Callithrix jacchus: one gene and its partners. The protein of the gene in region 1 purifies or fractionates together with the protein of each later gene. This does not show direct contact. Links are inferred from orthologs where the notes say so. Each region holds a gene or a part of one and is shown in the gene's direction. Other genes may lie near its edges. The genes, in order: SNRPF, SF3B1, TUT1, RNPC3, SNRPA1, MEPCE and CLNS1A.

Evidence for each region.
Region 2: the proteins of SNRPF (region 1) and SF3B1 purify together in Homo sapiens (co-immunoprecipitation; 3 studies listed by BioGRID and IntAct, counting the BioPlex papers as one, with this or other methods). This does not show direct contact. The link is inferred for Callithrix jacchus from reciprocal best matches to the Homo sapiens genes SNRPF and SF3B1.
Region 3: the proteins of SNRPF (region 1) and TUT1 purify together in Homo sapiens (co-immunoprecipitation; 3 studies listed by BioGRID and IntAct, counting the BioPlex papers as one, with this or other methods). This does not show direct contact. The link is inferred for Callithrix jacchus from reciprocal best matches to the Homo sapiens genes SNRPF and TUT1.
Region 4: the proteins of SNRPF (region 1) and RNPC3 purify together in Homo sapiens (co-immunoprecipitation; 3 studies listed by BioGRID and IntAct, counting the BioPlex papers as one, with this or other methods). This does not show direct contact. The link is inferred for Callithrix jacchus from reciprocal best matches to the Homo sapiens genes SNRPF and RNPC3.
Region 5: the proteins of SNRPF (region 1) and SNRPA1 purify together in Homo sapiens (affinity purification with mass spectrometry; 3 studies listed by BioGRID and IntAct, counting the BioPlex papers as one, with this or other methods). This does not show direct contact. The link is inferred for Callithrix jacchus from reciprocal best matches to the Homo sapiens genes SNRPF and SNRPA1.
Region 6: the proteins of SNRPF (region 1) and MEPCE purify together in Homo sapiens (affinity purification with mass spectrometry; 4 studies listed by BioGRID and IntAct, counting the BioPlex papers as one, with this or other methods). This does not show direct contact. The link is inferred for Callithrix jacchus from reciprocal best matches to the Homo sapiens genes SNRPF and MEPCE.
Region 7: the proteins of SNRPF (region 1) and CLNS1A purify together in Homo sapiens (affinity purification with mass spectrometry; 3 studies listed by BioGRID and IntAct, counting the BioPlex papers as one, with this or other methods). This does not show direct contact. The link is inferred for Callithrix jacchus from reciprocal best matches to the Homo sapiens genes SNRPF and CLNS1A.

Annotation. Positions count from the first base shown.
Region 1 is NC_133510.1:98,945,661-98,947,905, forward strand, and holds the end of SNRPF (small nuclear ribonucleoprotein F), read left to right. Parts: intron 1-917; coding exon 918-982; intron 983-1,578; coding exon 1,579-1,645; 3' UTR 1,646-1,745; downstream 1,746-2,245. UniProt on the Homo sapiens protein: Plays a role in pre-mRNA splicing as a core component of the spliceosomal U1, U2, U4 and U5 small nuclear ribonucleoproteins (snRNPs), the building blocks of the spliceosome.
Region 2 is NC_133507.1:118,360,301-118,363,482, reverse strand, and holds part of SF3B1 (splicing factor 3B subunit 1), read left to right. Parts: coding exon 1-87; intron 88-429; coding exon 430-561; intron 562-2,184; coding exon 2,185-2,457; intron 2,458-3,182. UniProt on the Homo sapiens protein: Component of the 17S U2 SnRNP complex of the spliceosome, a large ribonucleoprotein complex that removes introns from transcribed pre-mRNAs.
Region 3 is NC_133511.1:119,845,782-119,849,281, reverse strand, and holds the end of TUT1 (speckle targeted PIP5K1A-regulated poly(A) polymerase), read left to right. Parts: intron 1-552; coding exon 553-662; intron 663-826; coding exon 827-937; intron 938-1,108; coding exon 1,109-1,201; intron 1,202-2,216; coding exon 2,217-3,367; 3' UTR 3,368-3,413; downstream 3,414-3,500. UniProt on the Homo sapiens protein: Poly(A) polymerase that creates the 3'-poly(A) tail of specific pre-mRNAs. Localizes to nuclear speckles together with PIP5K1A and mediates polyadenylation of a select set of mRNAs, such as HMOX1.
Region 4 is NC_133508.1:142,404,921-142,408,420, reverse strand, and holds part of RNPC3 (RNA-binding region-containing protein 3), read left to right. Parts: intron 1-683; coding exon 684-845; intron 846-1,913; coding exon 1,914-2,008; intron 2,009-2,645; coding exon 2,646-2,704; intron 2,705-3,500. UniProt on the Homo sapiens protein: Participates in pre-mRNA U12-dependent splicing, performed by the minor spliceosome which removes U12-type introns. U12-type introns comprises less than 1% of all non-coding sequences. Binds to the 3'-stem-loop of m(7)G-capped U12 snRNA.
Region 5 is NC_133507.1:8,696,297-8,699,800, forward strand, and holds the end of SNRPA1 (U2 small nuclear ribonucleoprotein A'), read left to right. Parts: intron 1-375; coding exon 376-469; intron 470-2,707; coding exon 2,708-2,766; 3' UTR 2,767-3,004; downstream 3,005-3,504. UniProt on the Homo sapiens protein: Involved in pre-mRNA splicing as component of the spliceosome. Associated with sn-RNP U2, where it contributes to the binding of stem loop IV of U2 snRNA.
Region 6 is NC_133503.1:13,293,252-13,296,074, reverse strand, and holds the end of MEPCE (7SK snRNA methylphosphate capping enzyme), read left to right. Parts: intron 1-1,098; coding exon 1,099-1,317; intron 1,318-1,489; coding exon 1,490-1,616; intron 1,617-1,720; coding exon 1,721-1,773; 3' UTR 1,774-2,323; downstream 2,324-2,823. UniProt on the Homo sapiens protein: S-adenosyl-L-methionine-dependent methyltransferase that adds a methylphosphate cap at the 5'-end of 7SK snRNA (7SK RNA), leading to stabilize it.
Region 7 is NC_133511.1:62,980,129-62,983,628, forward strand, and holds part of CLNS1A (methylosome subunit pICln), read left to right. Parts: intron 1-502; coding exon 503-601; intron 602-795; coding exon 796-969; intron 970-1,159; exon of another isoform or gene 1,160-1,256; coding exon of another isoform or gene 1,257-1,435; intron 1,436-3,500. Other genes in the region: AQP11 (aquaporin-11), read right to left, coding at 1,257-1,435. UniProt on the Homo sapiens protein: Involved in both the assembly of spliceosomal snRNPs and the methylation of Sm proteins.

The DNA of each region.
Region 1 (2,245 bases):
AACTAAACATTTTGATATAAAATTAGAAATAATAAGAGTTCAACAAAATAACTGTAAATGTGAAACTTAACTATTTAACTTTCTATTAAGAACTTCTTTTTCCCTGTTTATTAGTACAAAATTTTAAAAAAATTATTATTCATTGGCCAGATGTGGTGGCTCATACCTATAATCCCAGTACTTTGGGAGGCCAAGGCGGGAGGATCACTTGAGGGCAGAAGTTCAAGACCAGCTTGGGCAATATAGCAAAATTGTTTTGAAGTAGCCAGGCTTGGTGGCACATGCTTTCTATCATAGCTACTCAGGAGGTTGACGTGGGAGGAGCCTAGGAGTTCGAGGTTTTGGTCAGCTATGATTGTGCTACTGCACTCCAGCCTGGGCAACAGAGTGAGACCCTGTTTCTTAAAAGGCAAGAAAAGAAGAAAATTCTTACTTAATTACCTGCTTTGGATGTTGCCTAATATGAAAGTATTTGGCATGTTAGCCATAGCTTTTGTAACCCATTTGGACACCTCAGTATGATTTATAATGTTGACTCTGAGAAAACAACATTTGGTGCTTTAGAATGAATTTTCAGAAAACTTTTTAATCACAATTTATTCATAAATTAGAGACTGCTTCCACACAGTTTTGATATCTGAAATATTACGTAACCTGGGAGATTCAGAAACTTATGTTGAAACAAGCTTTATTATATATTTGTTCTACATCCATGAATGTTAATTTTACTGAAGGTTTATATGAAACCAAAAGTCCTACAGTAGTAATAGAAAGCTCATCTTCTGTTTATTAATTATAGATAGATTTGAGTTGTTGGTGTAGAAAGGTATCAGTTAATAAGTTCTCTCACAGTATTAGCTGTATTGTAATATTTTCCTCCTGTGTGATTATACTAATATATTTCTTTTTATTGAAAGCTTGCAAATACAGAAGAATACATAGATGGAGCATTGTCTGGACATCTGGGTGAAGTTTTAATAAGGTAAAAAACAGCAGTGGTATATGTAAGGAGTTACTGGTGAGCATTAGGAATACCTGTTTTAAATATATTAGAGCCTCAATTTTGGAGTTACTTATTTTTAAAAAATCACTATTAACTTATAATACTTTACAATTGGACTTCAGAAGTCTTTGAAATTGCTAAACTTGTCAAAGATAAGTTTTAAAATGCTTTAGAACTGGCCAAAAGATTTTTCTAGTGTTGATGTTAAATTTTCTGGCTCTTAGCTATATAACCTTTTTCAGTGGCCTTCATTGGAGGCACTTAGTTTTGAATTTTAGTTGGGTCTGGCTGTTTGTAAGAATTTTTGTACTAGCTTCAAAGCTCCAAATTCTGATAATTATTTCCCTTGGAAAATTATAAAGATATCATTTTATAACAACCATATGGTTGAAAATCAGTGCCATGTGCTTTTCAACTTATCTATGTAAAACGTTTTTTAAAAACAAATATATATTTTTTGAAAGACAGGAATATTATAAATATAGCATTCAGTATTTTCATAATAAAAAATATAGTAATTCAGATCATACATGGATTCTGGTTGAAACAACAAAATGGACTTTTTCTATTTACAGGTGTAATAATGTCCTTTATATCAGAGGTGTGGAAGAAGAGGAAGAAGATGGGGAAATGAGAGAATAGCATATTTTGTGGGGGATTTTTTTTTTTTCCTGACCCCAGCCCCTGGGATTTTTTTTTATATATATATATTTCTAGACAATAAAGATTTGTTTGTTCTTGACTTGTGAACTATTTGTATTCAGATATTTACCAGCAAAGCCCAAATGCTGAACCAATTGGGAAAGATTACTCACAAAACTAATGCTTTAAAAGTCACTGAATTTTATTTAAGTTGCTTTTTTTTATAAGCTTGATACTCTTTTTTTTTTCTATAAAGGATAGTTATTTATATGCTTTAGATATTTTTATGAAGGTGAATTTCAGACCTTTTCTTGTAAAATTATATCTTAGCTGAGACCTTTTAAATGCAACTTTTAAAGTTATTTTTGAGCCACTTTTAACATGTATAAAATTAAACATGTTTTTGGTATTAATGTACTGTCTTATTTTACTTAGTAAAATTACATGTTACTTCTGTGTCAGTATAAGCTAAATGCACATATTGTAGCTAAAATTGAAACATCTAAAAATTAAAATGATTGTGCAGACAAGGCACAACGGAAATTGGGAACCGACATTTAGGCTGAAGGCATATGGTTTGTTTACTAAGGAGAAAAAAGT
Region 2 (3,182 bases), on another chromosome or scaffold:
GCTGCCTAGACTCACCCCCATCTTAAAGAACAGACATGAAAAAGTACAAGAGAATTGTATTGATCTTGTTGGGCGTATTGCTGACAGGTAAGCAGATTACCCAAACATTTTTATAAGCAATATCAGTTTTCAAGTTTGGCCACTTTTTATTCAATTAGCAAAATTTTTTTAATGTCACTAATATAAGTGTATATGATTAGGCTATCCAGTATTAATATTTTCAGTCAAATTTCATTTTGGATGGTAATGGGGTGGCAATATAATTTTAAGACTAAACCTTTAAGACTAACTCTAACCTTTCTGAAGAGTAATAACTTTTATTTAATGCTTAAAATGAGCTAGCAATCATGTTTTTAGAACTGAATTTGCAAATTTACCCTTAAAACTTAATGTCACAAAAATTAATATGTGTATTTCTTTTTTAATTAGGGGAGCTGAATATGTATCTGCAAGAGAATGGATGAGGATTTGCTTTGAGCTTTTAGAGCTTTTAAAAGCCCACAAAAAAGCTATTCGTAGAGCCACAGTCAACACATTTGGTTATATTGCAAAGGCCATTGGGTGAGTGTTATTTACTTCCATTAAAAAAAAATTATAGTAAATCCGTTGTGGTGTTGAAATCTCTTTTGAGGCATGGTCTGAGTAATGCAGTTGCAAAAGCACTTCATTTAACCGCTGACCTTCTGATTATTGGAATGCATTCTTAAATTCAATTCTTTCTTTTTTTTTTTTTTTCTTTTCGAGACAAAGTCTTGCTCTGTTACTCACTGCTAGAATGCAGTGATGTGATCTGCAACCTCCACCTTCTGGGTTCAGGTGATTCTCCTGTCTCAGCCTTCCCAGTAGCTGGGACTACAGGTGTTGCACCACCACACCTGGCTAATTTTTTGTATTTTTTAGTAGAGACGAGGTTTTTACTATGTGGGCGAGGCTGCTCTTGAACTCCTGACCTCAAATGATTCACCTGCCTTGGCCTCCCAAAGTGTTGAGATTACAGGTGTGAGCCATTGCGCCCAGCCTGTAGTCTTAAATTTTTAATTGAATTAAAATAAATTTACTTTAATTATATGTTAGGTATTTTCAGGGAGAGAAACAGTACCATTTTCAGAAAAATTTTAAATGTGTATTGGTTTTTTGGATATTGCTTAAACTATAAAGGCAAGTTTTTAATCTTACAGCATCATTTAAGTCTCATATTGAATGCTCTGTGTTTTAAAAATTTTATTATGGATTGCTTGAGCTTAGGAGTTCAAGGTTACGGTGAGCTGTGATTGTGCCACTGTACCCCAGCCTGGGCACCTGGGCCCAGGACAAGACCCTGTCTCTAAAAAAACAACAAAAATGCTATTCTAACATTAATCCACAGATTTAACTGAATTATAGCTGCTTTGTGAAATAATCTGTGGTTGTTTACTTCCACTCCATTACAACTAAAGTGGGAAAAAGCAGTCATTATAGAAAACGAGACACTGCGTGTTCATGTGGCTTAAGTAAGAAAATGTTTTTAAGGAATATGACATGCGAATGTCTGATTCCTTAGTTAGAATTAACCAGACCATACTCTCTCTCTTAACACATACTCATTCCTCTCCTATTTTGGTAGCATAATATTTATTTTAGTGGTGATGGAGTCAAGAAATTTGCAGCCAATAGCTGTTGTGCAAGCTTTTAGCCTCAGTGTCCCATAAGCTTATGTCAAAGAAGAGGTGAATAGATGCAGCAAATTGTGTGGGAGGGAATATGAAAGGAAAAAAGATTTCATATGGTTTATAGTGGGAGACTGCAATTTGGATACTCATACCTAGTTCTAGTGCCCATTTTGACAACTCAGAGAATTACTCACTTTAAACATTTACTTACATTTCTTTATATATCAGAAAGTTTAAAGACTGAACATTGAGAATTAATTTGAGTTAACTTAACATTTTTAGAATTCATACAGCTATGGCCTCTGATCTCAGAGTTAACTTTTAAAAACTGATCTTTTAATTTATATGAAATTTTCATATAGAAACAACAATGCCAGTGACTTGAAAATACTGCATTTTTATCATAAAATTACTGAGCTCCCTGTCATTAGTATTTAAAAGTTTTCATCCTCATGCGTTTTTTTCTTCCATAAATTTTTGACTTATGGAAATCAAAGTTCGACTTATTATTGTTGACCCATTTGTTTTTTTTCAGCCCTCATGATGTATTGGCTACACTTCTAAACAACCTCAAAGTTCAAGAAAGGCAGAACAGAGTTTGTACCACTGTAGCAATAGCTATTGTTGCAGAAACGTGTTCACCCTTTACAGTACTCCCTGCCTTAATGAATGAATACAGAGTTCCTGAACTGAATGTTCAAAATGGAGTGTTAAAATCACTTTCCTTCTTGTTTGAATATATTGGTGAAATGGGAAAAGACTACATTTATGCTGTAACACCATTACTTGAAGATGCTTTAATGGATAGGTAAGTGACTTGAACTAAATACAGGAAAATAATTATAACTCTTCCTTCATTTTAGAACATCCTGAAATAGTTATTAGATGACTTTTCATTGTAATGTAGATAAAGAAAAAAATGCTAGCCTGGAGTCTTAGGACATTGTAAATATGACTTATTATTTAAAATAATGTGCACATTGTAGTGATTCTCCAAAGTTTCTTTCAAGTTCCCCACCTCCCTTTAAATCTCTTTTCATATCTGTTGAACTACATTTTGAAAAGGGTTGATAATCTTTTGTTTTCAAAATTGGTCAAATATAGTTACAGGAATTGATGAGCAGGAGCTAGTCAGTGTGGCAGAGACCTGATGTTTTTTAGCTTTTTATTGTAGGTAAAGCACAGATTTCTCTTAAGCTTTCGAATTACTGAACATAGTCTGACAGAGCTGCACTCTTCCCATTGCAGATCCCTAGTGTTTCAGATGGTGACCACCAGTACAGTACTGTTTGAGTTATTTGACAGATTCCTAATACCTTTTACCATCTAGACTGATATTATAGCCGTAAACACAAAAGTAACTGAAGAAAGTGCAAAGGAAAGTGCAGGCATAGTAAAGGAAAGAACTGTTTAACTGGCTCTGTATTTTTCAGGAGAGATAAGTTACTCAAATCAGAGCCCATTCAAATACTTTTGTGTATAAATTAAAGTTATTCATTAATGACCTGAAAGGGAGACTTAAATGGACTCATC
Region 3 (3,500 bases), on another chromosome or scaffold:
CGCCTTGGCCTCCCAAAGTGCTGGGATTACAGGCGTGAGCCACCACACCTGGCCTAGAATACTACTTTCAAGGGATATAGAAAAGAGTTCTATGGTTGAATAAATGTGGGAAATTCCAAATTAGATGCAAAAAGTTTTCTCCATTTCTTCCCTCCTCCCCTCCTTTCTCCTTTCCTTCCTTCCTCTCTCCCTTCCCGTCTTTGTTTCTTTGCAGAGTAAAGGCTCTGGGCAATCCTTTTTTTTTTTTTTTTTTGAGATGAGATCTTGCTCTGTCACCCAGGCTAGAGTACAGTGGTGTGACCACATCTCATGAGCAGTCTTACAATAATGTGCTCTGTGAATGTCCAGGATGGGTTTACAGGATGAAGTGTTTCCCGAACGCGTTTGTCCTTTTGCACACTCTCTCACAAGCTCAGTGTTTGAGCAACATTTGGGGAAACTCTATTTTGGCCTTATTCCAGCTGGCCCGTTATGTAAGTCTGGAATGAAAGTGCGGGGTGGTAGGTTCTGATGTCCCCAAGCCATAACACCCTTGTCCCTGCTTTGTCCCAGGCTGGCCCTGCATAACTCCCGTTTCCTGAGTCTCTGCTCTGAGCTGGATGATCGAGTCCGGCCCCTCGTGTATACCCTCCGCTGCTGGGCTCAGGGCCGGGGACTGTCAGGTGAGAATGAATCAGGACAGGCTTGGGGCTGAGTTGGTGTCAGGAAAAAGGCAGGGATTCTGGGCGAGAAGGTAGGTCCAAATGGGCACCGGGGTTGAGAAAACTGCCAATGAGGGGATTGGAAGCACCTCTGATCTAACCAGAATTATTGCTTATTTACCTAGGGAGTGGCCCCCTTCTTAGTAACTACGCCCTGACCTTGCTGGTGATCTATTTCCTTCAGACCAGGGACCCTCCTGTGTTGCCTACTGTGTCCCAGCTCACCCAGAAAGCAGGTACTCAGCCTAGCCTCCACCCTCTCCATCTTGTTAGCTTCCTCTCTCTTATTCATCACATTTAGACCCCAAAGCAGCTCTGCAAATGAGATCTCTGCTATCACTCTCATTTCTACCCCACCCTCAATCTCCCTGCTTCCAGACTGACTCTCACCTTTTTTACTTTCACAGGAGATGGGGAACAGGTGAAAGTCGATGGCTGGGACTGTAGTTTCCCCAGGGATGCCTCGAGACTGGAGCCCAGCACAAATGTGGAGCCCCTCAGTGAGTTTGGGGAGCCTGGTAGAGGACTAGTAGTGATGTTCATCAATAGTAGGTAACATCACACTGTGTGTCAGGCATGGTTCTCACAGAAAGCCTGTGAGATACCTAACACTATTACTGTCATTTTACAGATGAAGAAACCACGTTTTGGAGCAATTAAGTGGCTTGCCCAAGGTTACATGGCCAGCAAGAGGGAGTAGCATCTGGGAAGGACATCATGTGGGGTCAAGGAGAGAAGTTTGACCTCTTGTTACCTCTTGTTTTTTTTTGAGGCGGCATTTCGCTGTTGTTACCCAGACTGGAGTGCAATGGCATGATCTTGGCTCACTGCAACCTCCGCCTTCTGGGTTCAAGCAATTCTCCTGCCTCAGCCTCCCGAGTAGCTAGGATTACAGGCACGCACAACCATGCCCAGCTAATTTTTGTATTTTTAGTAGAGACGGGGTTTCACCTTGTTGACCAGGATGGTCTCGATCTCTTGACCTCGTGATCCACCTGCCTCGGCCTCCCAAAGTGCTGGGATTTTAGGCGTGAGCCATTGCGCCCGGCCTACCTCTTTTTTTTTTTGAGCCGCGTCTTGCTCTGTCGCCAGGCTGGAGTGCAGTGGCATGACCTCTGCTCACTGCAACCCCTGCCTCCCATGTTCGAGTGATTCTCCTGCCTCAGCCTCCTGAGTAGCTGGGACTACAGGCGCGTGCCACCACACTGAGCTGATTTTTGTATTTTGAGTAGAGATGGGGTTTTACCATGTTGGCCAGGATGGTCTTGATCTCTTGACCTCGTAATCTGCCCGCCTAGGCCTCCCAAAGTGCTGGGATTACAGGCGTGAGCCACCGTGCCTGGCTGACCTCTTGTTCATAGGGATCAGAGAAGTCTAGCTTCCTGGGACTCTGCTGATGCTGAGACCTTCGAAAGGGAAAAAGAAAGTCCTGCCAAGGAAATGGCTCAGGTGCAGGACCTGTCTCAGTTCTGGGCTCTAAATGACCCCCTTTCCCCACTTTTCCTCCTCTTCCAGGTTACCTGCTAGCCCAGTTCTTCTCCTGTGTCTCTTGCTGGGATCTCCGTGGCTCACTGCTGTCCCTGAGGGATGGTCAGGCACTGCCTGTGGCAGGGGGCCTGCCCTCTAATTTCTGGGAGGGTCTGCGCCTTGGCCCCATGAATCTCCAGGACCCTTTTGACCTCAGTCACAATGTTGCAGCCAATGTGACCAGCCGGGTGGCTGGGCGCCTACAGAACTGCTGCCGAGCGGCAGCCAATTACTGCCGAAGCCTCCAGTACCAGCGCCGTTCCTCCCGGGGTCGGGACTGGGGGCTGCTCCCCCTTCTGCAGCCCAGCTCCCCCAGCTCCCTGCTCTCTGCTACGCCAATCCCTTTACCCCTTGTACCCTTCACCCAGCTCACTGCTGCCCTGGTGCAGGTATTCAGGGAAGCACTGGGGTGTCATATAGAACAGGGAACCAAGAGACCGCGGTCAGAAGGAGGTGGAATTGGAGAGTCCTCTCAGGGAGGGACAAACAAAAGACTGAAACTAGATGGACAGAAAAAGAGCTGTGAGGAGGGGAGAGAGGAGCAGCAGGGAGGTGCAGGGGATGGCGGGGAAGACGGGGTAGAAGAGATGGTTGTAGAGGTTGGAGAGATGTCTCAGGACTGGGCCATGCAGAGCCCTGGGCAGCCAGGGGAGCTGCTGCTGATGACTGGCAATCATGGAGCCCCTGGAGAAGAGGGGCAGTCCAGCCAAGCAGCCCTGGCAGAGCAGGGGCCCAAGGGACATGAGGCAGCCTCAGGAGGGTCTCAGGGCGAGGCAGGGAAGGAGATATCCCTCCCCTCCTCGGTGAGCTGGCGCTGTGCCTTGTGGCACCGAGTGTGGCAGGGGCGGCGGCGAGCCCGTAGACGCTTGCAGCAGCAAACCAAGGAAGAAGCTGGAGACAGTGCTGGCACAGGAGCAGGGTGGCTGGCAACTGAGGCTCAGGTCACCCAGGAGCTGAGAGGACTGAGTGGTGGCGAACAGAGGCCAGAAACTGAGCCCCTGCTGAGCTTTGTGGCATCTGTCTCCTCGGCTGACGGAATGCTCACCGTGACCCCACTCCAGGATCCCCAAGGCCTATTCCCTGATCTCCATCATTTCTTACAGTTGTTCCTCCCTCAAGCACTTCGACATCTCAAGTAAAGACATGGCCCCTAAAGGGCAATAAAGCTGCTAGTTTCTTAATACAGAGAGTCTCCCATTTCATTTCCTTCTGGTCATAATCCTCCTTTCTCTACCTCAGAACTTCATGCAGCTGCTCGGCCCTGCCTTGTCG
Region 4 (3,500 bases), on another chromosome or scaffold:
AGGATAGAATTCTAGTAAGTATTGCAAACATAGTGAGTGAAAAACTGACTAGTTTTAATTCCTGTTTTGCATGGTGAGTGAGAATCTGGTGCTTTTTTTAGTGCCTTTTCAGATAGCTCCATTTTTTATGTTTTCTTTAACATTTTTTTTTTTTTATAAATTTTTCTTACATCATGGTTAGTCACCCTTTAAACATAATTTTTTTTTTTTTGAGACGGAGTTTCACTTGTTGCCCAGGCTGGTGTGCAATGGCATGATCTCTGTTCACAGCAACCTCCACCTCCCAGGTTCAAGCAATTCTCCTGCCTCAGCCTCCCAAGTATCTGGGATTACAGGCATAGGCCACCAAGCCTGGCTAATGTTGTATTTTTAGTAGAGACGAAGTTTCTCCATGTTGTTCAGGCTGGTCTTGAACTCCCAAACTCAGATTCCCTCCGCCCCACCGTGGCCTCCCAAAGTGCTGGGATTGCAAGTGTGAGCCACCACTCCTGGCCTAACACAATTTTTTTTACTATTTGGAGTTTTATAGAAAAAATTTGCATATGCATCTTTCCGTATATTGAAAAACACCAAAGAATTTGTGCCAAAAGGTATATTATTAAATATAAAATAGGAGGGGGGAACCCAAAAACTGTTTTTAAAGGAGAGATTCTTAATGGCTAATGTTAACTCTGAATTCTTAGATATACCTGCTACTGAAGTTGATGCATCCAATATAGGATTCGGAAAAATCTTCCCCAAACCTAATTTGAATATCACAGAGGAAATTAAAGAAGACTCTGATGAAATGCCATCAGAATGTATTTCTAGAAGGGAATTGGAAAAGGGCAGAATTTCTAGAGAAGGTAATGTCATGGAATAAACTAAGCACATATTCCATTTTACATATCTTTGACTCTGCAGAAACTAAACAATTTGTCATGTCATTTACCTTAATTTAAGGCACATACTTAAATCTTTCCAGTTAATGTTTGTCATCACCTCTTCTGTTTTTTTTTAAATACTCATACTTAATGGGGGTGGGGAGAGGCTTTCGTTCTCCTACAGTGTTTCCAGTCTATATTTGGAAAAAATTTTTGATTTCATTCCTAAAATTTTTATGTGGCATTTAAGTTAAGTCACTGTGTCCTACAGGTCTGGAGTTATATATTCTAAATGTAGCTGATAGACTGTCAACAAATACTGTGTCTGAGATACATACAAACCAATTATTTCAAAAACAAATAGTGATTAGAAATCTATGATTGAGTATTTTATATTCTCACATGATAGTTTTCTACTTCCCAAAGACTTTTACTTTTTTAGTACCTTGTCAGAAAATATTTAGAGGCTTTAGATTGCTGTGTAATTTTTCCTACAGTGAAGGGAAATAGACTTCCAACTAGGATTTTTATACAAAACCGTCTATCTTAGTTTTCTAGAACAGACTACTGACATTAAATGGGAGGAGCTGTACAGGGGTTCTGGGGCCATGATTTGTCCGAAATGCCTGATACTATGTTTAGTTCATTCTTGTATTTAAATATGGAGATGGCTGATGGTTTGGAAAATTCACTTTAGGTGAAATAATTACCCAAATCAATTGATAACATATATGCTTTACTCTTTTTTATAACATGACTCATCTTAACGGACCATTAATAGTAGATATTTTATTGGACAAATTTTAGTTTAGTTATTCTAGATGCCTGAAATTGTAAATCAAAAGTTAATTTTTTTATATATAATCAATTCAGATTTTCAGTGAGTATATTTAAACTAATTTGTAATATTGTTACTAATTTTATGGTTTTAACATTTTCCTAAAGCTTATTTTGTCTATTTAACAGTTGTATTTGAATATTATAATTATCTTTAAAAACTTGGCTAAAATATTTTAATTTTATATTTTTGTTTTTTTGTTTCTTAATAAGAAATGGAAACACTTTCAGTTTTCAGAAGTTATGAACCTGGTGAACCAAACTGTAGAATTTATGTAAAGAATTTAGCTAAACATGTTCAAGAAAAGGTAGGTATAAATTTTTTTTCATGTAAATGAAAACAATTTGAAGGTTTTATACTTGATATGTTAAAGTCTGGTGAAACTACCTATAAGAATGTGTTTTTTACTGTGCTTCAGGGCATGTCAAATTATTGTTTAGTATTTTCAGGTTAATTGTTTATTAAAATGATATTCGCATAGCTAGCAGTAAATACTGAGACAGAGTTTGGGGTATGTATTAATTTTCTAGAGCCGCCGTAACAAAGTACCACAAGCCAAGTGTCTGAAACACAGATGTGTGTTGTCTCACAGTTCTGAAGGCAAACTGAAGTCAAAAGTATGGCAGGATTGATTCATTCTGAGGGCTGGGAGGGAAGGATCTGTCTGATCCTCTCCCATAACTTCTGCTATTATGCTGAAGCTGGCAGTCTTTGACCTTCCTTGGCTTGTGGCAACATCACGACAATTTCTGACTTTGTTTTTTCATAGTGTACTCCCTATGTATCTATGCCCAAATTTCCCCTTTAGAAAGGCCAACAGTCACATTAGATTAAAGCCTATTTTAGTCCCGTATGACCTCTTCTATTGATGTATTGATCGACTGATTGATTAACAGTTCTTTTCCCTAGCTTTGTTATTTGTCTTTTTCTTATTGAAATTCTAGGACCTTAAATATATTTTTGGAAGATATGTTGACTTTTCATCAGAAACACAGCGGATCATGTAAGTGACAGTAAATTATGATATTAAATTATGTTTTCTTTTTATCTCTTACAAATTTACCACTATTTTAATCCCAGCATTTTCCTTTTAGAGATAAAAAAATATTTGCAAAAGTTGGTCTAGAATAATCTTTTAGATGTCTAGAATAGGAGTTGACAAACTTTTTCTGTAAATGGGCAGATAGCAAAATTTTAATATTTTTATTTTATTGCAGACCATACTGTGTCTGTTGGAATTACTGAATTTTGTAGTTGAATTCGAAGGCAGCCACAAATAAAACCTGAACAAATATTCATGGCTGTGTTCTAATAAAGCTCTTTACAGAAACAGGCCTTGTAATACATTCTGACCCTAATCTCTCTAAATCCATGGTTCTCAGACTTTAACATTGCATAAGTATCACCTCGAGAGCCTGGCAAAACAGTTTTCTAGGCCCATCTTCAGAGAGTCTGATTTTCTAGGTTTCATGGATAGGACTCATGAATTTGTGTTTCTAAAAAGCTGCTGGATGATGCTGAGTCTTCTGAGGTAAAGACTATGCTTTGAAACCCATTCTTTTAATGAATCCTCCAGGAGTATATGGCAATGAAGCAAACCTTTTTAGATTCTCACTCTGACAGTAAATTGTAATCTTTTAAAAGAACTACATTAGCAAGGCTTCCAGTTTTGTGAAAGCAAAAGAGAGAGTTGTGATTTGTAAATATTATAAAAGCTAATGTGTTTGTCTGTTTTCACACTGCTGATAAAGACATTCCCAAGAATGGGCAATTTACAAAGGAAAGAGGTTTAATGGAGA
Region 5 (3,504 bases), on another chromosome or scaffold:
AAATAATTTTGGCTGATCAGTAGGGACCCTAGTTTTATAATGTTGCCTCCTTAAACTATTCAGTAGTTCTTCAAATAGTTTTTCAAATAATTCAAATAGTTATTTCATTTAGCTACAGTTTTAGGACATCTGGAGTGATTATTTGCTCTCTTTTATAAGAGGGCCCGCATCTCTTACCCAATTTTGGAAATTTGTGATTTGGCTTCTAGTTTTATTTCTGTATGCCAATAACATTCTTCCCCCAACACCAAAGTGTTTAATGTTCCAAATGGAGAAGTTGCTGTGAATTTCTGTAGGTGATTGATACTTAGTTTTCTGGGTAGTTGATACTTGGTTGAAGTTAATTATCCATCTCCATTGCCCTCTGTCCTCCAGAATGCTATAGCAAATGCTTCAACTCTGGCTGAAGTGGAGAGGCTGAAGGGCTTGCTGCAGTCTGGTCAGATTCCTGGCAGAGAACGCAGATCGGGTGAGCAAACGGTGTTCTTTGTCCGTTCAAATTAGTGTTACACTCGGTGTGACTCTCATAACCATTTGGATGTTATGACTCCAGAATGCTGGAACAGTGCCTCCTTACATCACATCTAATACATGAAATCCCTGTAAATGCTCTTTGAAGATAAAGTACTGGATGAAGAAAGCTAAGTCATAGTGCTGTGGGGGTTTTATGTAGAAGTTGAAGCTAGTATTATTTCAGCCATGGAGTGAACTGAACACTGGAGATAGCCATGTGGACGTTTGCCTATCTGTATCTGTGTGTGTGCATAATAGCTCAGTAGTCAGGAACACGGGCTCTAGAGCCAAGCAGTCTGAGGCCCAAATCTTAGCTTCACCAGCTCTGCCCTTGGACAAGTTTTTTCAAGTCTGTTTTCTCATCTTTAAATCTGCGTTAATAGTACCAAACCTCAGAAGGTTGCCGAGAGGCCTAGGAGACTGCACTTAGCGCAGGGCTCAACATTAGCGAGTTTTTGATAAGTGGTAGCTATTCTGCTGTTTGAATGCCTGCTTTATGCTGGGCAGCAGGTGGGGCACTGGGGATATCAAAAAATACTGAAATACATCTTACAAGTTTTGATATGAATGTAACTGGGGACCTCTACTTCGACTGCTATCTTGGGGAAAGTTTCTAGGGAAATAATGTTTGAGCTGGGAGCTAAAAATGAAAAAGACATTTTTTAAGAACAGTGATTTTCTACTGTATGGTTTGTAGGCCTCTGAGAGTCCGTAAGATCAAGACTTTTCTTTATCGGATACACCAAGGTGTAACTACTTTTCGTACGAACATTTGCACTGTTGGAGCAATAGGAGGTAGAACTGCTGGCACCTCAGCAGGAATCAAGGCAGCGGGCTAAATAATAGTTGTTATATTCTTCTCTGCTCTGCGCTCCCAGTAGAATGCATACCAGTTTCACGTAAGAGTGTTCTGGATGCAGCAGTGAAGATTATGAAATGTCACTCCTCAAGCACACGTCTGATATTCTGGGTGAGAGAATAGTGGTACACATCTGCATTGTCTGCATACTTGAGTTGGGGGGCTATCTCCATGCACTGGGCTGTCGTTTCAGTTGAGAGGCAGCTGTTAACTGTCTTCTAGCTGTCTTCTCAAACACGATGAAATGAGCCTGTACTTCAGTGAAAACAATTGAAAATTTAAGATTTCAAGCAAAAATTAAAATTTGGAAAACTTGTATCCACTGCTCTAACCTGCCAGCTTCCCAGTACTTAAAAGACTTTTCTGGGGAACTCAGTAGTCATGTTAATGCATGTGAATTAGTGGGTGTGACATTTTTGATGTGTAATTAAATGTCTCAACATTTGGAAGATCTGCAAAACCCGGGAACCTCTGTTTTCCAAATGATACAAAATCATGTACAGGTACAAGATTTTGTTCAAAGTACAAGATAAAGTATGAAAAGTTCATTGGTAAGGTTGGCCGTGATGGTCTTGATCTCTTGACCTCCTGATCTGCCCTCCTCAGCCTCCCAAAGTGCTGGGATCACATGCATGAGCACCACGCCCGGCCTGGAATGGTCCTCTCCCTTTTCTAACTATATACCTGTGTGGCCAAATTTTCTTCATGCTCGTCAATCAAAATAGCATATTGCAAGGGCTGGACTGATGAAGCCAATACAGTAATCCAGCTGACTGGTGTTAAGTCAGATATTCCTAATTTCCCCAAGCAAATGAAAGGGTTACGACTCCCCGCCCCCGCACCCCCCCCAAGAAATTGATCAAAATATCTGCCATAAATTGTTGAACAAATGTAACATTTTTTGGTAATTGTTGCCATATTTTCCCAATTTAGAGACAATAAAGTCATTGAACTGTTGCCAATACCTGGTGTGTAGAAGGTGCCCAAAGGCTTTTGAGTATTTCCAGTTTCTTTGCTATGGTAGTGCCATGAAAAGCACACGAATGTAGACTTTTTACCTTCACAAGAATGAATTATCGTCAACTACAGTGGGAGGCGGCAATTCTGAAACTTTTGTGACCCTTTTCCTTTGAAACTGATCATCTCGTCCCGTACCTGCCAAAGACAGACTAGACTGTCCCTGGGCAATCGGCTCCCCAAAGGCAGGGGCTGCTTTTGATCTGTTTGGACCTGCTTCAGTGCCTAGGAAACAGGGGCCACGGAACAAGCACTCACATGCCAAGGAGATAGATTCTCTAAAACTGATTCTACTTTCGGTTTTGTGGTTTTCTTTAGGACCCACTGATGATGGTGAAGAAGAGATGGAAGAAGACACCGTCACAAACGGGTCCTGAGCGGTGGGGCAGATGTGTGGCAATAGGCCCTCTTGGAACAAGTCCTGCTTTTCAAACATGGGATAATAGCCTTGTTTGTGTTAGCAAAGTGGAATGTGTCAGCGTTGCTGAAATACTTAGGACTGCTGCTGATAATTTTGTAATGTAAGTTTTGAAATCTAAATGTCAGTTTTCTACAAGTCATAAAAATAAACACTCGGTGTGCTGCCGAGTTGTGTGTCATCACGGTGCATTTGCAGTGAAGTCTAAGGATGTGTTTCATTTGTAAATGTGGGAGGGCAGCATTTCCTCAGATTAGTCCACCTCCTGCAGTGTCATGAACATGCCAGTAAGGCCACCTTTTCTACTCCCATGTAGCCCTCATGTTAATACAGACTTGCCTGTCGCTCCGTCTTCTGATAGGACACTGAAATGATTCCATTTTTGGAATTGATTAGTGTGTCCCACTTATCCTGGTTACGGGTTGTTTTCGAGGTTTTTTTCTTCCCCAAGCTGCTCTCCAACTCTGGCTTTAAGTGATCCTCCCACCTTGGCCTCCCAAAGTGCTGGAAGAACAGGCCTGAGCCACCATACCCACCCTCTAGTTTTAGATATGTACGTAGTTAACATAAAGGTCGCATGGCGAGTCTTCAAGAATGTTTGCTGTTGAAAGGGGTGGAACTCACTCCTGTTTGAAGAACACTACTGTTTGATTGCCATCTCCGATCTCCCTTAGCCACGACAGTTGTAATCCAATCT
Region 6 (2,823 bases), on another chromosome or scaffold:
CATCTCTTCCCTTTTATAACCCGGAAAGGTGATCTCTCTACCTTGGGGCCTTGACCCTGGAGTCCTTTCTCATGACCTCAAGGGTCTCCAAAATAGAGGAGGACTTTTTTTGCCCAGCTCCTGGCTTGGCCTATAATCCACACTGGTCCACCTTCCCTTTAAGGCTGCTGTTACTGCTCACTAGGGGATTCAATCCAGCTGGAACTTGGTCCTCAGATTTACTGAAGAAGCCTGAGAATGGGAGTCAGGCATGGAATGTCTTCTGGGGAGATTAGGGTAGCGGCAGACTAATACTGGCATTTCTGCCCATTGATAGAGACCTTGTTCTCATCAACAGCTTTTGTTTTCCTAGACAGTTTGTTGAAGAGTGTCAGGAACCCAAGTGGCTTGGCTGTAGATCCTCTCCACACTGACCCTAGATAGTAGGAGAGGGAAGAGCCAGAAACTACACAGAGAGGAGAGTCCCATGCCCACCACAGTGTCCCCTGACTGCACACAGCTCTCGGAAAACATCCCAGTTAGGCCGTCTGCTGGGATCTTTGGCATTGTGTTGGGTTAAGCCTGAAGAATGGTCTTTCTAGAGGGCTGTGATGAGCTTATCTTCTAGAAAAGGTTTCCTGAAGGATGTGGCTCTTCATATCTCTCAGAGGAAGCAAAGAATAGGCCTGAAACTTTGCCAACCCCAACTGCAGAGAAGGAACCACAGGTCTGCCTGTGGTTTGAAACCTGGGTTAGTTAGTTATCCTTGCAACTAATTGCAGTCATTCCACCTAAAGTCTGTGGGTGAGAATAAGCACGGGATAGGGTCCTGGGACCTCAGCTTTGGAAGACTTCATGGATAATTTGCACCATTTAAAATTACCCAGGCTCCCTCTAGACGTTTTTTGGCTTACACCAGTAGGAAGAAGCAGAGGCCAGGAAGGTGTAGAGGAGAAAACAAAACTCAAAGAGGGCCCCTTTTGGGAGTTAGTCTGAGAAGAATATGACCATGGGCTAAAGTGAGGCTACAGGACTGTGTGTCGGCCTCAGGGCAGGTTGCCTGGAAGCAGGGGTTCTTTGATTCCCTCTGTTGACCTCACTGCCGATTCCTGCCCCCAGGGTAATTACGTGCTGGATCGAGATGACCTGGTGGAAGCCCAAACACCTGAGTATGATGTGGTGCTCTGCCTTAGCCTAACCAAGTGGGTGCATCTGAACTGGGGAGATGAGGGCCTGAAGCGCATGTTTCGCCGGATCTACCGGCACTTACGGCCTGGGGGCATCCTGGTCCTAGAGCCCCAACCCTGGTCATCCTATGGCAAGAGAAAGACCCTTACGGTGAGTTGGATGTGATGGAAATGGGGAATAATCCTTTGGTTGAGGCAAGAAAAGGCCTCAGGGAATAGAGAAGGAATTTCTGAACAAGGTGAAAAGGCCCTCCGGCTGGGCATCACTCTTGGCCATGGGAGGTGGCCAGCATGCTAAAGTGGTCCTTTGCTTCTCTCCTTAGGAAACAATCTACAAGAACTACTACCGAATCCAGCTGAAGCCAGAGCAGTTCAGTTCCTACCTGACATCCCCAGAAGTGGGCTTCTCCAGCTATGAGCTTGTAGCCACACCCCACAACACCTCTAAAGGTAAGGCTGGTTTATTTTGTTGGGAAGGCTTGTCCTGACTGATAGAGTTCAGATCCCATGGGGAGGTGCTGCCAACCCCTTCTGATCACTGTCTCTCCCCTCAGGCTTCCAGCGTCCTGTGTACCTGTTCCACAAGGCCCGATCCCCCAGCCACTAAGTGGCCCCTTGAACAGAAAGTGTGAAGAGGCTGCCTTCGCTGCTCATAAGGACCTGGGGGAAGAGGAAAGCGTCCCAAGGTCTTTCCTTTCTGACTCCAAAAATAGTTTTCTTCTTGGATCTGCAAAGAAAGCTTTTCTTCCGTCGCTGCCGCTGCCTCAGCCTCCTCCCTACGCCTCTGACACTTGTGCAGCAAGGCTGGCTGTGCTGGAGTCCCCATCTTCCTCTCCCACAGCCTGCCAGGCTGGATGGCATGGACTGTTTGCTGACCTCTGTTCTCCTAGGGCATGGGAGGTGGAAGGATATAAAATTCTCTAGCCCTTTCCTCCTATTCTCCCAAGGAGAGAGATTCCCATATCTCAGCCCTTTTCCCTAGCTGCATTTCAGTGGACCATGGATAGGTGGACTGAAGGTTAGAGGGGGAAGCCTGGTAGGGAGGCACGAAGGTACTGTGAAAATCTTTCCCTCTGCTGTCCCCCAGTGGGAGAGGGGGTTGGGTTTTGAATGTGAGAACAGCACAATAAACTTGATGTCTAGGGCAGTGGCCCCCACACTTGTGTTGGGTATTTTATAGCTGGTGGGGAAGACGTGGTGCTTCCTCTTCCGTCTCAAGGAAGACAATTTTTCAGTGGCTGGGTTGATTGTTGCATGCTAGCCAAGTCCACACAAAAGTACACAGAAGCCTAGAAAGGCAAAGTATGTAATGCAAATTTTGGTGTGTAACTTGGAGTCTGCCTTCTCTCCCCAAAAAAGCCCTGTGAGGGCCTTGGGCAGAAGGCTAACTCTGATTTTTGTTTTCCTGAGATGGAGTTTCACTTTGTTACCCAGGCTGGGGTGTGCGATCTCAGCTCACTGTAACCTGCGCCTTCCAGGTTCAAGCAGTTCTCCTGCCTCAGGCTCTGGAGTAGCTGGGATTACAGGCCACAAGCCCAGCTAATTTTTTGTATTTTTAGTAGAGTTGGGGTTTCACCATGATGGCTAGGTTGGTCTCAAACTCCTGACCTCAGGTGATCCGCCCACCTCAACTTCCCAAAGTGCTTACAGGCGGAAG
Region 7 (3,500 bases), on another chromosome or scaffold:
CTGTATTGCCCAAGCTGATCTTGAACTCCTGGGCTCAAGCAATCCTCCCATCTCAGCCTCCCAAAGTGCTGGGATTATAGACATCAGCCACTGCACCTGGCCCTGATTTTTTTTTTAAGAAAGGAGTATTTTTTTAAAAATAGGCATTTATTCTTGAATAGTGAACTGTGTTTTATGGTGTCGCACCCATGAAGCAGAAATTTAGGATTATGTTTTTTAATTAGAAAAAATCTTCATTATATAAATTAAGTTGTGCTCAAAATTCCCACCTCAGGATAATGTAGGACTCCCTGACCTTAGGAACATGCTTTTTCCTTCTAGTCCCTGGACATGGGATTATTTGGGAATTGCTGTTTACTGGCTCGTTACTTCTTTTGATAATCTTAGAGGGTAGGGACGTTTTCTTTGTATCTCTGTCTTCAGTAGTAGCCTGTACATGTGCTTAAATAAATGTTGAAAACTATCTTCCTGGAAACCTATTTTCACTGTACATTATCTTCAGCAGATGCCTCCTCCCTACCTCCCAGACAAGGTCTTGCTCTGTCACCCAGGCTGGAGTGCAATGGCGTGATCTCAGCTCACTATGACCTCTACCTCCCGGGTATAAGCGATTCTCCTGCCTTAGCCTCCTGAGTAGCTGGTCCACAGGCATGCACCACCATGCCCGGCTAATTTTTGTAGTTTTAGTAGAGACAGGGTTTCAGTATGTTGGCCACCCTGGCAGCAGATGTATAATTATCCATTTTGTTTTTTCTAATTGTTGTATAATAGCTTCGAAGTTTTCTGTTTGTTTAGAACAAGGGCAGGGGGATATCCCTACATTTTACACCTATGAAGAAGGATTATCCCATCTAACAGCAGAAGGCCAAGCCACATTGGAGAGATTAGAAGGAATGCTTTCTCAGTCCGTGAGCAGCCAGTATAATATGGCTGGGGTCAGGACAGAAGATTCAATAAGAGATTATGAAGGTGAGTGTCCTTTCTCAGTGTGATTAGTTAGATGGGCACTTGGCCATTAAGTTAATGGATAGTCATAGAAGTTCTTTTAATAACTCTAAGAGAAATCTCAGAATTGACTTTTTGTACTATAGGAAGCAGATATAGAATTATATAGTATGGAATTCTTATGTCATTTGTTTTTAGTGATTTTTTTTTCTCATTAGAAAAGTAGTCCTTGTTCATTAAAAAAAAGTTTTTAATGTGCACAGGCAAAGTAGAAGTGAAAAAAATAAAACAAGTATAATTCTAACTGAGAGCTATCCTTTTCTGTTGAATCTCTGTATTAGTTTGCTAGGGCTATTATAACAAAGTATCATACAGGCTGGGTGGCTCAAACAGTAGAATTTTATTGTCTCATAGTTAGGGAGGCTAGAAGTCCGTGGTAGATTATCTCTGAGGGCTGTTGGTTCAGGCGTCTCTTCAGGTATACACACACCTACCAAAGTGAAGAGAGAGACAGATTTTAAGAAATTGACCCACATGACTGAAGGCTGGCAAGTCCAAAATCTGCAGGGTAGGCCTGCAGATTGGAGACCCAGGGAAGAGTTGATACTGCATTCTGCTGCAACAGAAATTCTGCTGGCAGAATTTCTTCTTGCTTAGGGGAGGTGAATCTTTTTCCTTTTGAGGCCTCCAGCCGATTAAGTGAGACCCACCAAACTATCAAGGACAATCTGCTTCACCCAGAATCCACCAGTTTATAAGGCTAATCTCATCTAAAAAACAACCTCCTCAGAAACATCTAGAATAATGTTTGACAAACTGTCTGGGTACCATTGCCTAGCCAAGTTGATGCGTAAATTTAATTATCACATCTTTTTTTTTTTTTTTTGAGGTGGAGTTTTGCTCTTATTGCCCAGGCTGGAATGCAGTGGCATGATATTGGCTCACTGCAACCTTTGCCTCTTGGGTTCAAGCAGTTCTCCTGCCTCAGGCTCTTGAGTAGCTAGGATTACCAGCATCTGCCATCATGCCCAGCTAATTTTTATATTTTTAGTAGAGGAGTTTCACCATGTTGGCCAGGCTGATCTTGAACTTCAGGTGATCCGCCCTTCTTGGCCTCCCAAAGTGCTGGGATTACAGGCATGAACCACCATGGCTGGTCCTATCACACCCTTCTTATAAGGACACCAGTCACATTGTATTAGGTCCCACTCTAGTGACCTCACATGAACTTGATTAACTCTGTAAAGCTCTCCAAATAAGATCATATCTGAGGTATTGGAAGTTAGGACTTGGGGAGACATAATCCAAAACACTAAGAGAAATCTTAGAATAAACTCTTTATAGTAGAGGGAGTAAATGTAGAATTATATAGAATAGACATTCTTATGTAATTTTTTGTTGTTTATTTGAGGTAGTGCCTTGCTCTGTCGCCCAGGCTGGAGTGCAGTGGCACGATCTCAGCTCAATCCAACCTCTGCCTCCTGGGTTCAAGCATTCTTCTGCTTCAGCCTCCCAAGTAGCTGGAATTACAGGCATGCACCACCATGCATGGCTAATTTTTTGTATTTTTAGTAGAAATGGGGTTTCACTATGTTAGCCAGGCTAGTCTGAAACTCCTGACCTCAAGTGATCCACTCACCTTGGCCTCCCAAAATACTGGGATGATAGGCATGAGCCACTGCATCTGGCTCTTACGTAATTTTTTAAGTGTTTCTTTTCTGTCTACAAAAATACTTTCTATTCCTAGTCAAAAATTTTGAAAGTATGCTCAGGCAAAGAAGAGAGAGAAAAAAATCAAAAATAATTCTGAGAGGTATTTACTGTTAATTTTCTGTCGCATATTCTTTCAGTTTTATTTGTGTTCTTTTATGTGTATATATACACTAATTATTATTTTTTTGAGACGGAGTTTTGCTCTGTTACCCAGGTTGGTGCATTGTTATGATCTCTGCTCACTACAACCTCTGCCTCCCAGGTTCAGGTCATTCACCCGCCTCAGCCTCCCAAGTAACTGGGATTAACAGATACCTGCCATCATGCCCAGCTAATTTGTTTATTTTTGTAGAGATGGGGTTTTACCACGTTGGCCAGGCTGGTTTCAAACTCCTGACCTCAGGTGATCTGCCCAACCCAGCCTCCTGAAGTGCTGGGGATTACAGGCGTGGGCCACTGCGCCTGGCCATGATTCTGTCATTTTTATTTATTTATTTGAGTCGTAGTCTTAGTCTGTCTCCCAGGCTGGAGTGCAGTGGCATGATCTTGGCTTACTTCAATCTCTAACTCCTGGGTTCAAGAGATTCTTTTGCCTCAGCCTCCTGAGTAACTGGCATTACAGGCATGCGCCACCATGCCTGGCTCATTTTTGTATTTTTAGTAGAGATGGTATTTTACCATATTGAACCAGGCTGGTCTCGAACTTCTTACCTCAGGTGATCCACCCACCTCTGCTTCCCAAAGTGTTGGGATTACAGGTGTGAGCCACCATGCCCAGCCAAGATGTTACCTTTTTTTTTTGAGACGGAGACTTACTCTGTTGCCCAGGCTGGAGTGCAGTG